Linked DNA regions of Coturnix japonica. The main gene of each other region encodes a partner of the protein of the gene in region 2 in a complex. Links are inferred from orthologs where the notes say so. Each region holds a gene or a part of one and is shown on either strand. Other genes may lie near its edges. The genes, in order: RUVBL1, PDRG1 and ASDURF.

Evidence for each region.
Region 1: PDRG1 (region 2) and RUVBL1 share a complex: the UniProt entries of both Homo sapiens proteins name them as parts of the PAQosome complex. The link is inferred for Coturnix japonica from reciprocal best matches to the Homo sapiens genes PDRG1 and RUVBL1.
Region 3: PDRG1 (region 2) and ASDURF share a complex: the UniProt entries of both Homo sapiens proteins name them as parts of the PAQosome complex. The link is inferred for Coturnix japonica from reciprocal best matches to the Homo sapiens genes PDRG1 and ASDURF.

What each region holds. Positions count from the first base shown.
Region 1 is NC_029527.1:7,146,675-7,150,870, reverse strand, and holds the start of RUVBL1 (ruvB-like 1), read right to left. Parts: upstream 2,895-4,196; 5' UTR 2,644-2,894; intron 1,800-2,643; 5' UTR 1,761-1,799; coding exon 1,713-1,760; intron 1,062-1,712; coding exon 929-1,061; intron 1-928. UniProt on the Homo sapiens protein: Possesses single-stranded DNA-stimulated ATPase and ATP-dependent DNA helicase (3' to 5') activity; hexamerization is thought to be critical for ATP hydrolysis and adjacent subunits in the ring-like structure contribute to the ATPase activity.
Region 2 is NC_029535.1:8,958,002-8,961,526, reverse strand, and holds PDRG1 (p53 and DNA damage-regulated protein 1), read right to left. Parts: upstream 2,014-3,525; 5' UTR 1,940-2,013; coding exon 1,856-1,939; intron 1,781-1,855; coding exon 1,705-1,780; intron 1,628-1,704; coding exon 1,553-1,627; intron 1,389-1,552; coding exon 1,308-1,388; intron 917-1,307; coding exon 834-916; 3' UTR 506-833; downstream 1-505. UniProt on the Homo sapiens protein: May play a role in chaperone-mediated protein folding.
Region 3 is NC_029522.1:4,422,899-4,427,015, reverse strand, and holds the start of ASDURF (ASNSD1 upstream open reading frame protein), read left to right. Parts: upstream 1-1,280; 5' UTR 1,281-1,347; coding exon 1,348-1,410; intron 1,411-3,287; coding exon 3,288-3,341; intron 3,342-3,875; coding exon 3,876-3,951; intron 3,952-4,117.

The DNA.
Region 1 (4,196 bases), on a different chromosome or scaffold from region 2:
TTTCCAGATCTCTGACAGGGTACTTCATCACATCAAGGAAATATTGCAGACTGCTCAGTCTTTGGCTTCCATCCCCCAGGCCCTGCCAGATTCATGGTAACTAGACCAGAGACTACTGAAGGTTTTTCTTATGAAAATGAATGGAATACTTTTACTTGGTTGCAGAACTGAGAGACCTCTTCACCACCCCCAGATACTCAGATGAAGTCAGAGAGGAAACACGGCAGAGAAATCAGGGAAATTAACTGTTAATAAGTTCAGTTTTTCAGTTAGGTCATCTTTAGGCAATCCTTACACAAACAAGGGCCATTTTAACCGCATTTATCAGCTGTCAGCAGAGATCATAAAAGAGATTTTAACTACTTAGTGAGGTCGCGTTGCAAATTTACCCAATTTACGTTGACTTTGTAAAAGCACTCTAGAATTGAGGAAGATATTGAAGATATTATTTATTTTGCTGGCATGGAACTTCCTCTGTGCTCACTGGAACACTGAGCCAGGCTAATGCTGCCACTTGGGAACCCCTCGAGAAGGCTGCTTGCTCAGCAAGGTGGAATCACTAAAGTACAAGGGAAAGCATTTTGCTGTCTATAAGCATTTCTGCTAATGTAAGAAACTAAAAACAGATTTTCTTTCAGATTTCTGGAGTGTCACAGGTGGCATCAGGAGGTGGAACCTGGAGGACAAGAAGAGATCCTGGGGGAGGAGAGTAAGTAAAAATATCTGTGGGACACAAGCATTTATATCCAGAAAACCTTACTGACTCTACTAAGTGTGGGAGAGATTCCCCAGTTTAAGATCAGCATTGAAGAAAAGTTCACATCATGTTCTGGAAACCACCGTGACCACCAAGATTTTTCCTTTTCAGATCACTAGAAAAAACAATGTAAGTATCACATAAAAACGTTTCTGTTTTTCTGAAACTTACCAATTGCTCGTCTGAAGTTTTCCATCAGAACTTCTGTTTTCTTGATTTCAGTAGAATAGACCTCACTTCCAACCATAGGACAAAAGGGAACTTTACTGCCAAGTTCCTGAGCAATAGCTAAAGCCAAGGCAGTCTTTAAAAATGGAAAAAGAAATTAAGCATTTCATTTTTATGAGGATTCTTTCTGCACTAAGTTAACTTTCCTCATCGTATCACCTTCACTCTATCAACTACTACTACTATACTATAGTATTATATATATATATACATATATATACTATATTATAACTGCTCTGACATCTCTCACATATAACAAACATCTCCCACCAAAACAAATTAGACACGCATAAGGTGACTTCTACCAATGACTTATAAACACTGTAAAGGAATGATAGTGGACTTCTGAATTTAACATCTTATAGAAATGAGATGGAAAGGGAAAAACAACTAAAAAGAATAACTATTTAGGCTTTTAATATCGAATTAACTTATAAGACTAATCAGAAACTGTCCTGCCTCTGTGTTTGGCAACCTATATTAGGTGCTTTCGCACTAATGATGGCTGCACAAACCAGAGGATGCTGCCAGTGCTAATGACGTGGCAAAAATTAAACACAAAACAGGAGACTGTGTCAATACCTTAATGGAGGAAAAAAAACACAACAGCAGATGAAGACAATATATAACCGCTATTCTAAAATGCTTGTGGCAGCACGTTAAATTACAGCGGATTTCAGAAGGTTTTATTTCTTGCAAGAAAAGGAAAATAAAAATATCAGGATACCTTGCCAGTTCCAGGAGGTCCTGCCAACAGGACAGCTCTGCCAGCCATCTTCTTGCTTTTGATGAGCTCTACTATAACCCCACAAGCCTGCAGGATAAGGGTTGGCACCATTAACAAGAGTACTGTTAAAATACATTTAATTCCAGTGATACTAGAAGTGTTTAGAACTACTGATCTTCTGAGGTGCCAAAATTAAACTGCAGTTCAATGTTATACATAGGAGTGAGGTAAGAAAGAAATCACTTCCTGCAGTCCCTGTATCTGGCACATTAAAGAAATAAATCAAACAGAACTCAAACCAAAGAGCTGGGGATCTTTTTCCCCTTGCAGAGCTGCACGCAGGTATCAAAGCCTAAAAACAGAGCAAGAGGGGAGTAAACTCTTGGAAAGGGCTGATAATAGCAGGACACGGGGAAATGGTTTGAAGTTAAAAGAGGGAAGATTTAGGTTGGATGTTAGGGGGAAGTTCTTCACTAGGAGAGTTCAGGTTAGGGCCCTGCGAAACCAGGCTGCCCAGGGAGGTTGTGGACTGCCCCATACCTTGGAGGTGCTTGTCAAGTGACCCAGCGTTGCTGACGGCGGACCTGTTGCGGGGCAACCTGATCTAGTAAAGGTGATATATGATTTTGCGTGGCCCTTCCACGGCAGGGGGTTGAAACATGATCCTTGAGTCCAGTCCCTTCCAACCCGGGTCATTCTGTGACAAACCCCCACCCGGCCTGTCGCGAGCGGAGCAGGCGGACTTGGCTGGGCCCTGCACCACCTCACGGGCACCAATCTTTGAAGTGGAGCCTTAAAACCCTGTAGATCGTTTATCCGACAATCCAGCGAGTAGTAACGGGCGAATCTCACAGCCCGGGCCTGGCGCTCTATGATCGGCGGCCGTGCCAGCCCGCGAGCAGTGCGCCAGGTGCAGGGGCCCATCTCTCACCTCCCGCGCGTTCTCCTGTCCGCACCAGGCGCGGCGGCCCGCCGGTTTGGCGGAGTGCCGCCGTCTCGTCGCAGCCCCCGGAGGGCCCAGTTAACAGGCTGTTGTGCTGCGGATTGCCGCGGATGCGTCTGTCGCAGGTTGCTCGGTTCACCTCCTCGATCTTCATCGGCGCCACGGGTCTCCCTTCTCCCTCACGTCCACCCGCGCATCACGCGGCCCGCGCGTTACCAAGGCCTACGCCGGCGCGCGGCCTCCTCGGGCTCCCCCGCTCCCGCGCGTCTCGTCAATTGGCCCTGCGTCTGCCGCGCCTCGCGCGGCTGTTGTGATGGTGTCTGCGGTTAGGCGTGACCTGTTCACCGGACGAGCTGCAGCGGCGGGCCTGGCGATACATATTTGAGAGTGTGTGGGCCGTCTGTCGCCGCATTCCGTCGGCTGCGCTCTCGACTCAAAGCGGTCCGGCGTGCGGCGGCGAGGTGCGGGGGAGGGTGGGTGTGGGGAGATGGGCCGGGACCGAGCAGGGGCCGAGCCTTTGGGTGGGCTTTGCTGTCGTCCTGCCTTTACCAGTGTGTTAATTTAACCACTGCTGGTTAATTTTTAACCAGCAGTTATTTACGTTTTACGTGCCCACGGCAATATCTGAGCCTTTAACTTCGCCTTTTTTATAACAGTATAATATAGCGACGGACAGCTCCTCCCCACGTCGAGAGTACTGATAAACTGAGGGGGGAAAACAGTTGTTCGGGGGGTCGTGTCTCATCTCCACACCCTCAGAGCTCCCTCATGTAACAGATCTCCCACCACCATGGCTGTGGGCTCTGCTGTAGTGTTACTGCACCTCTTATGTGGTCCATCAGTGCTTGGGGTGGAAATGCTGTGAAATCTCAGAGGGCGTTTCAGAGCCTGGCTGCCATCCAGTGCGTTCTTCTCTGTTGGTAGATTCTGGGCGAGGAGATGACTCATGGAATTAGTTAAGGTTGGAAAGATTGCCATGAGTGTTTCATCGTAATATCCAACCACGGACCCATGGCACTATGGCCTGATTGCCACCATCCCTGCAGTTACCACATCTGGCGCACGGCGTTCTGGGTATGCGTCAATTCAGAATCGACAGAATGACGGCCGGGTTGGAGGGACCTCTAAGGATTCATTGTAGTTCCAACCCCCCTCGCCTGAGCTGAAGCGGCCACCAAATCTGATCACCAACGCGTTTACTAGGCGATCAGGTTGCCCAGGGCCCCGTCCAACCTGGTCTTGAACACCTCCAAGGACGGGGCATCCACAACCTCCCTGGGCAGCCTGTTCCAGGGCCGAACCACTCTCCTAGTAAAGAACTTCCCCCTAACATCCAATCTAAATCTTCCCTCTTTTAACTTAAAACCGTTTCCCCGTGTCCTGCTATTATCAGCCCTTTCGAAGAGTTTACTCCCCTCCTGGGAGTAAGTTCCCTTCAGGTATTGAAAGGCTGCAATGAGGTCACCCCGCAACCTTCTCTTCTCTAGGCTGAACAAACCCAACTCCCTCAGCCTGTCAAGGAACAGCCTCCAGGGATAGTG
Region 2 (3,525 bases):
TCAGTCTGTGCATCTCTAACTTAAGCCTGAAGTGGAGAGCAGATGAGCTACCTGGAGAGCCAGAGCTGATTTTATGACCTCTGCCAAAACTATTATGACTTAAATCAGTTATCCCATTGCTACAGGCCAAATCCAGCCTGTTCAAGCTGCAGTTTTTGCTAATATGTGTCCATTTTATTCTTTCATCCTGTTTTGAGAGCCTTATTTTTCTGTATTCTCTTGGCTCCCACCTTGACAGCAGCCTGTGTTTTCCCATTGAGACAAACACGCTGCTGCCTTCTGTTCCTCCCTACGCATCTCTCAGGAGATTCCTGACGTGTTTCAGATGCACGGGTTTCATTTCATTTTAATACCACAGGCACACACAGCTCTTCTATACTCTGGGCACGCTGTACATTTACAATTCCTCCTACTTCTGTTCCTGACACTGCAGTGAACTCGCTCTGCAGCCAAACTACAGAAGCTCTCACATAACAAACCCAACAACAAACACACACACACAGAGTTAGGAATGCCCCACAGTGCTGGTTTTAATAATCCCCCTTGCAGGCGGGTGTTTGTCAGAGGCTGTGAATAAGCCACTGTTCCAGCAGTTGCCTCAGCACTGCTCTGCCACCGGCAGCAAGGAGTGGGGAGAGTTTACAGCCAGAATTACAGCTGAGGAGCTGTATCCTTCCCTGTGCCCACCAGGTTCTTTAGGAGAGGCTCCAGCAATGCAGGAGAGCTGGAAATCCTACAGGCTGTGTCTGATGCAGTGCAAATGCTGTGAGTGATACCCGACCACCGCAGGCTGAGCAGTGCTTGCACACGGTTGTGGTGGTGGCAGGGCTGTCTCAACCTTCCAGGATGCGATTGATCAGTTTCATTTCCTCTGCACTCATGGGGTTCAGGTTAAATCCCTTCAGCTCAGGTTTACCTGTAGGGATGTGCAGAACGTTGGGGTTTTGCTATAAGACACATGAAGCATTCCATGTGAAACCACGCAGCAATGATGGCTCTCAGCATCGTGAAGGTTGGAAAAGAGCCCTGAGATCATGAAACCCAACCCTGCCCACATCCCTCAGTGCCACATCCCTGCGGTGCTGGGATGCCTGCAGGGATGGTGATGGAGAACCAATTGTTCCTACTATCCACCCTGGTCGTTGCTGTGTGTATCCAGCACGCTGCTGGCTGACAGCTTTACCAGGGTAGGGAGGGAATGACAGAGTGAGAGGAGGAGCAGCCCCGGCAGCACTCACACATTGACTTCTCCCCAGCATCTGCAGCCAGACCTTTGCTGTTGGGGTTCAAGACCAGGAGTGTTTTACCTTGAGCTTCAAAGAGACGGTTGACCTTCACACGCAGCTCTTTCCGGAGGTTGTTTATCTCCTCATCCAGCTGTTCCTGATCTGAAAATAGCAGGGCAAGAATAAGGGGGGTTAACCCATGACATGGGGACTGGGGTTGAACAAGGGACCAACAGAGACCCTGCCGGGCTGTGTGAGCAGGGCAGGATGGCAGCATTGCTCTGTTTTAGCTCCGAGCTCCTCGGGGTGAGCAGATCCCTCCGTACCGCTCTGCAGCATCTCCTTGGCCTTGGCCTTGTGCAGCTCGATGAAGGTGCTCCCGAAGCACACCATGGCTTTCCCTGCAGTGAGGACCAGCCGTGCTCAGCGCTGTGCCCCGCACACACCGCCCCGATCCCGGCCGAGCTCCGGGACTCACCGTCCGGCTCCGGGTCTTTAAGCAGCGCCCGCAGCGCCTCGCGGTTCCGGTTCCGCTTCACGTCCAGATCGACGATCTGCAAAGAGACGGGAGGGGATGGGGATAAAGGGGGGGGTCGGGGGTTGTCGGGCCGAACCGGGTCGGGTCTCACCTGCTGCCGTGCGGCCAGCACGTCCTCGGCCAGCTCCTCCACCTCGGCCAGGTAGCGCAGCACAAACGCTGGGTCCCGCGCCATGTCGGGCCGCTCCGCCCCGTCCCATCCCCGCTCCCCGCCGGGCGGCAGCAGCGGCCGCGATCCGGAGTTCCGCGTAGAGCGCCCCCGTGTGGACACTGCGGGAATTGCAGTGTCAATTGCTGACAATAGCAGGACACGGGGAAATGGTTTTGAGTTAAAAGAGGGAAGATTTAGGTTGGATGTTAGGGGGAAGTTCTTCACTAGGAGAGTGGTTAGGGCCTGGAACAGGCTGCCCAGGGAGGTTGTGGATGCCCCGTCCTTGGAGGTGTTCAAGGCCAGGTTGGACGGGGCCATGGGCAACCTGATGTAGTAAAGGTGTATGTTTGGTGGCCCTGCCAGGCAGGGGGGTTGGAACTACATGATCCTTGAGGTCCCTTCCAACCCGGCTCATTCTGTGGTTCTGTATGTGAATCGGCCGGGCAGTGCTGTGGGGCGGCTCTGAAACACGGGGTGAGATTTCAGGGCTCCCCTGGTGGAGCTGAGGGTTGGGTTCAGTCATTGCTTCCATCCTGGGGTGTTCTGTGGTTCTGTGGCTGCCAGGAGCGAAGCTCTTGGTGCGCAAATAATCCCCAGAGGAAGATTAAGCAGATCGGAAGATTACCGGCCTTAATCTCGTAAAGTCGTTTGTGACAGTTAACGGGAGAGATCTCGGTCTGTGGCAGAGTGTGCTGAAAGAAGAAGGTGCCCAGTGAAGTGGTGGAAATGAGCACTGCCCGTCTGCATCCAACCCCGTCCTAGCGGGGACTTGGAGCTCGATGATCCTTGAGGTCCCTTCCACCTCGAGCCATCACATTCTACGTGATAGCAGTAGCAGAGAGAAGCCTGATGTCCACCCCTGAAGCAGGCAGTGCTACTCAGCAGCTCACAGCAAAATAAAGGCTGTGGGTTTACCGTGGCCACACAGAGGGTTGCATGAGAGCTGCAGCTGAGCTGTGGCAGGAGGCATCACAAAGCTTTGGGCACCTGGAAAACATTCCCAAGGCAACGATGGCTGCTGGTGCCATGCTCTGCAGGCCTCTCCCACAGCAGGCCCTGAGCCAGATGCAAATCATCACAGCCTTCCTTCTCCTGGACCCGGCGCCGTAGGAAAGCTGCTTGCCTGGAAGCTGGACTCAGCCTGAAGGCTGGAGGCTCGTTCAGATTGATTGCATGTTTATGTGCCCTCCTGGGAACCTGTCTGTGCAGACAGAGCATGTGGTCATCCACTCGCTGCTATGGGATGGTTTGCATCTGTCTGTATTTTGTGGCGTAAAGGGAAGGTCTGGGTTTCAGCACGTTCCTTTTTCTTTCTTCCTTGAATCACTTTCATTTATGCAGCTCAGAACCCTCCCTGCCTGCCTGCTGACAGCTGCACAGGAAGGCTTCAGGGATGTTTATGGGGTGGGTTTTTTTTCCTTCTCATCTTTCCCTGTGATTGCCAGGGTCTGCTGTTAAGATAAATCAGACATCAAACCACAGTCACCTCGCATGCAGGCTTTGGATGTTCAGCTCCGCTTTGGAGGCAGCATTTCAGGGTTTGTGGAGGAGGGGATCCCTCCTCCCCCTCCTTTCCCTTTGTCCTGGAGCTGTGTCCACCATCACCTGAG
Region 3 (4,117 bases), on a different chromosome or scaffold from region 2:
TAAAAATAAAAGATTTTTATGAACACAAGACACTTCTGTATTCTTAAGTCCTGCCACACCATCCATATGGCATTTCCTATGTCAGATATCTCTTACACTTCCATCTGCTACAACCTTTCATAGCATCTCAAGCTCTTACTGTACACTTACCAATTTCACTTGCACATGAAGAAATAGCAAGTTGGACCTTGCCGTGTATCAGCCCGTCCAGACGCTCTCCATGCCTTTCCACACAGTGGATTTACAGCAGTCTCCTTCCTTCACTGAGGGCTACACAGGCTGGACGTGCAGCATTTCTGTTCTACTCATAATGTCAGCACTGTCTCACACGATGTGTCGTACTCTTTTAGTCCTACTGTTTAAGTGTATTTTGGAACAGCCAGGTTGAGCCGTCTCATCTCATTGATTCTGTTTCCACACCAAGAAGACACACTGCTACTTGCATCCTAAGCTAAAGCACTACTACTACTTGGAAGATGGCACAGAAGGATGAAGCATTCACTTATCATCTTTGGTTAATGTAGCAAGACAGATAATGAAGGTTCCAACAGAATCATAGAATGACCCGGGTTGGAAGGGACCTCAAGGATCATGTAGTTCCAACCCCCCTGCCTGGCAGGGCCACCAAACATACACCTTTACTAGATCAGGTTGCCCAGGGCCCCGTCCAACCTGGCCTTGAACACCTCCAAGGACGGGGCATCCACAACCTCCCTGGGCAACCTGTTCCAGGGCCTAACCACTCTCCTAGTGAAGAACTTCCCCCTAACATCCAACCTAAATCTTCCCTCTTTTAACTTAAAACCATTTCCCCGTGTCCTGCTATTATCAGCCCTTTCGAAGAGTTTACTCCCCTCCTGGCAGTAAGTTCCCTTCAGGTACTGAAAGGCTGCAATGAGGTCACCCCGCAACCTTCTCTTCTCCAGGCTGAACAAACCCAACTCCCTCAGCCTGTCCTCATAGGGGAGGTGCTCCAGCCCCCTGATCATCTTCCTGTCCCTCCTCTGGACCCTTTCCAAAATCTCCATGTCTTTTTTGTACTGAGGGCTCCACACCTGGACACAGCACAACAGATGAGTAGAGCTCAAGCAGGGGACTAACGGGAAATGTCTCCATGAATCAAAATACTATCAAAGATCCGACAACAAGGCAGCCGGTACTGAAGGAAAATGGTCTCATTGCTCCACAGCCACTACGGCCATAACTCCACCTCAGCCATACGCGCCTAACAGCCGCTCTGCTGTACGCATGCGCAGTCGCTGCAGTTGTTTGGAGCCCACAGCGTGAGGCGCAGCCGTTGTGCGTATATTGCTGTGCGACGGCAGCGGCCGGCACTGCGAGCTGGGGATGTCGCGGCGGGAGGAGGAGGAGAGCGCCGAGCTGGGCCGTAAGGAGGAGCTGAGCCGGAGGGTGAGTTATGGAGGGTCTGAGGTGCTGCCCTGCGTCTCATAGTTGTGTGTGGGAAGGAGGAGGGTGTGCTGGAGGCTGAGCTGCGCTGTGGCCCAGGTGAAGGTGTGGGGGAGCTCGAGTGTTGTGAGCCCTTCTGGCGAGTTCCCTTCCCGTTTTTAGTGTTGTGAGATGGGCTGTGTGTGATTAGTCGAAGGAGAATGTGGTTCTCTGGGTTTGTTGAGCAAGTCGTGAGGGAGTTTAGTGAGGAGGCCAGCTTTAAAGCTGGGCTTTTCGTAGTGGCAGTCTTGTCTTTGTTCAGTGTGAGTTCTGTACAGTCCTGGTCAGTTGTCCTCGCATAAAAAGTGACTTTATTCTTCTACACTAATATCGCAATAGATTAGTGTTGTTCTCTAGTTGATTGGTTACATAAGAGACTAAAGAGAGCAACTGCATCAGCACAACACAGCGTATTAGCTGCGTGGCTGAAATGCCTGGTTCTGCTTTGCATCACAAGACTGCACTGTGTTCTTGTCTGTTTCAATAACTATCATAGTATGCTGTTGTAGCTGTTGGTGAAACAGCATTTTCTCAGTTCAGTTTGCCTTATACAGCCCTGTAGTTATTTCCATCTGCGCCAATTCCAGGAGGCAGAAAGGAGGACCGGAGTAAGGTGTGTTCTGTGCTTACAGAAAGTAGTGTGTGTTGAACCACTTTAGCTTTGTGTTTCAGCTTTTTTGATGGGCCCTGATTGCTCTTTGTCTTTAATGGCTCTTTGTCTTTAGTGGCTGACGTTGTCCAGGGAAGCAGGAGCATTGGACTGTTTGTGTCAGTGCAGCTGAACTGATGGCGGTAGATGCAGCATGACAACTTTGTGCTAAAAGTCCAGTGTACTGGAAGTGTTTCTAATTATCTTAATACAGTTTTGGGGTTGTTTTATACATATTTATTTATTTGGGGGGGGGGGGGGGGGTTATTGGTTATGTAGGTTTTTAATTGTTTCATTTACTGTTTTCATTTTGAATCTGGAGAATAAGATTATAAAGTGTATTGTGTAGGTAAATCTTTTCTCTAAGTTGCGTAATCACAGAATTATCAAGGTTGGAAAAGACCTAGAAGATCATCTAGTCCAACCGTTACCAATACTTCCCAGCTAAATCATATTCATCAACACAACATCCAGACGTTTCTTGAACACTCCCATGGTCGGTGACTCCACCACCTCCCTGGGCAGTGCATTCCAATGCCTGACTACCCTTTCTGAGAAGTAATACTTCCTAATGTTCAGCCTGAATCTCCCCTGGCACAGCTTAAAACCATTCCCTCTAGTTCTGTCATCTCTTACATGAGAGAAGAGGCCAACCCCCAGCTCACTACAACCTCCCTTCAGGAAGTTATAGAGAGCTATAAGGTCTCCCCTGAGCCTCCTCTTCTCCAGGCTGACAAATGTTAATAGTTGTTTATACGTTTGTTTTTTTGGGGGAGGTTGAGGGTGAAGTGATTTTGGATTCTGAGCAGCGAGGAGTACTCTGGCTTCCCAGTAATGACTGCTTTGGGGGGATGGGAACAGTGTCAACCATGCAAGATAATTCCCTTCCAAAGCAGTTATTTAGAGTGCTTCATTGTCTTATTGTTGAATTCATAACTTAGATTTCAATAAGAAGTGTGTTAAATGTAATTCAGTTATGTGGTCCGAAGACTTGTTGTATGCTTGGAATAATGGGTAATGAAATTTCTTTTTCATTCCTGTGTCCACTTTCATTTTAGTGGTCTGTTCAGGGCACAGTGACTTATATTTTTATAGCTGTCTTAAAAACATGGGTAAAGATTTTAATCTCCAGGACTGCAACACAGTAGTTTATTGTTGACAATTATATTGAGATGTGTTTTTTCTCTTTCAGATTAAGGAACAGAAGGTTGTAGTTGATGAGCTTTCGAATTTGAAGAAGAACAGGGTAAGCATTAAAGTTTTTTCTGCTTACTTCATTTTAGCATCAGATAAATTTGTATAGAGGCAAGAGGGCAAACAAAATTGCAGTGAGTACATTATCTTTAGTTGTTACACTAAAGATTTTAATGTGTATATGATCTTCTGTATGGTGTCAAAATGTTGTCTACATCGCTTGAGGGTTTACTTACACTTGTGCATTGTAACAGGAAGCTGTCTCAAGGTTTTACTTTAGCACAATTTTTATATTATGATGTTTGAGTGGATCAGTTTATGTTAAAAGCTTCTTTATTTTTCATGTGCATATGATGTAAAACAAAATATGACCCTTTAAGTATGAGGAAAGGAGGAAAATGCAGAATGGTTGTGGGTTGTTCCTGAAATGTTTTGGTGCGACATGAGGACATTGCTCATGGCAGAGAAGGTATCTTTCAGACATAAAAGGGAAGGGTATCTCAGTGGACTTCAGTGAGTTTCTGCTGCAGTGTGGTTGCCTGTGTATGCTACTTTTACTTAATGTGGTGTTGTATTTATTTTACAGAAAGTTTATAGGCAGCAACCCAATAGCAACATATTCTTCCTTGTAGACCGAACAGAAACACTGTCTCAATGCAAAAGTAAGTTTGCTGCACCAAAGGTAATAGTTCAACTGTTTAAAAGCTGTCTCTGTAGCTGTTGAAGATTTCCAAGTTGTAGTACAGTGGGAAAGCTGGCAACTGCATGTTAAATACCAAGTGGACTTCAGTTGTGCCTGCTTTTCTGGGCTGAATGAATGTGGTTCCC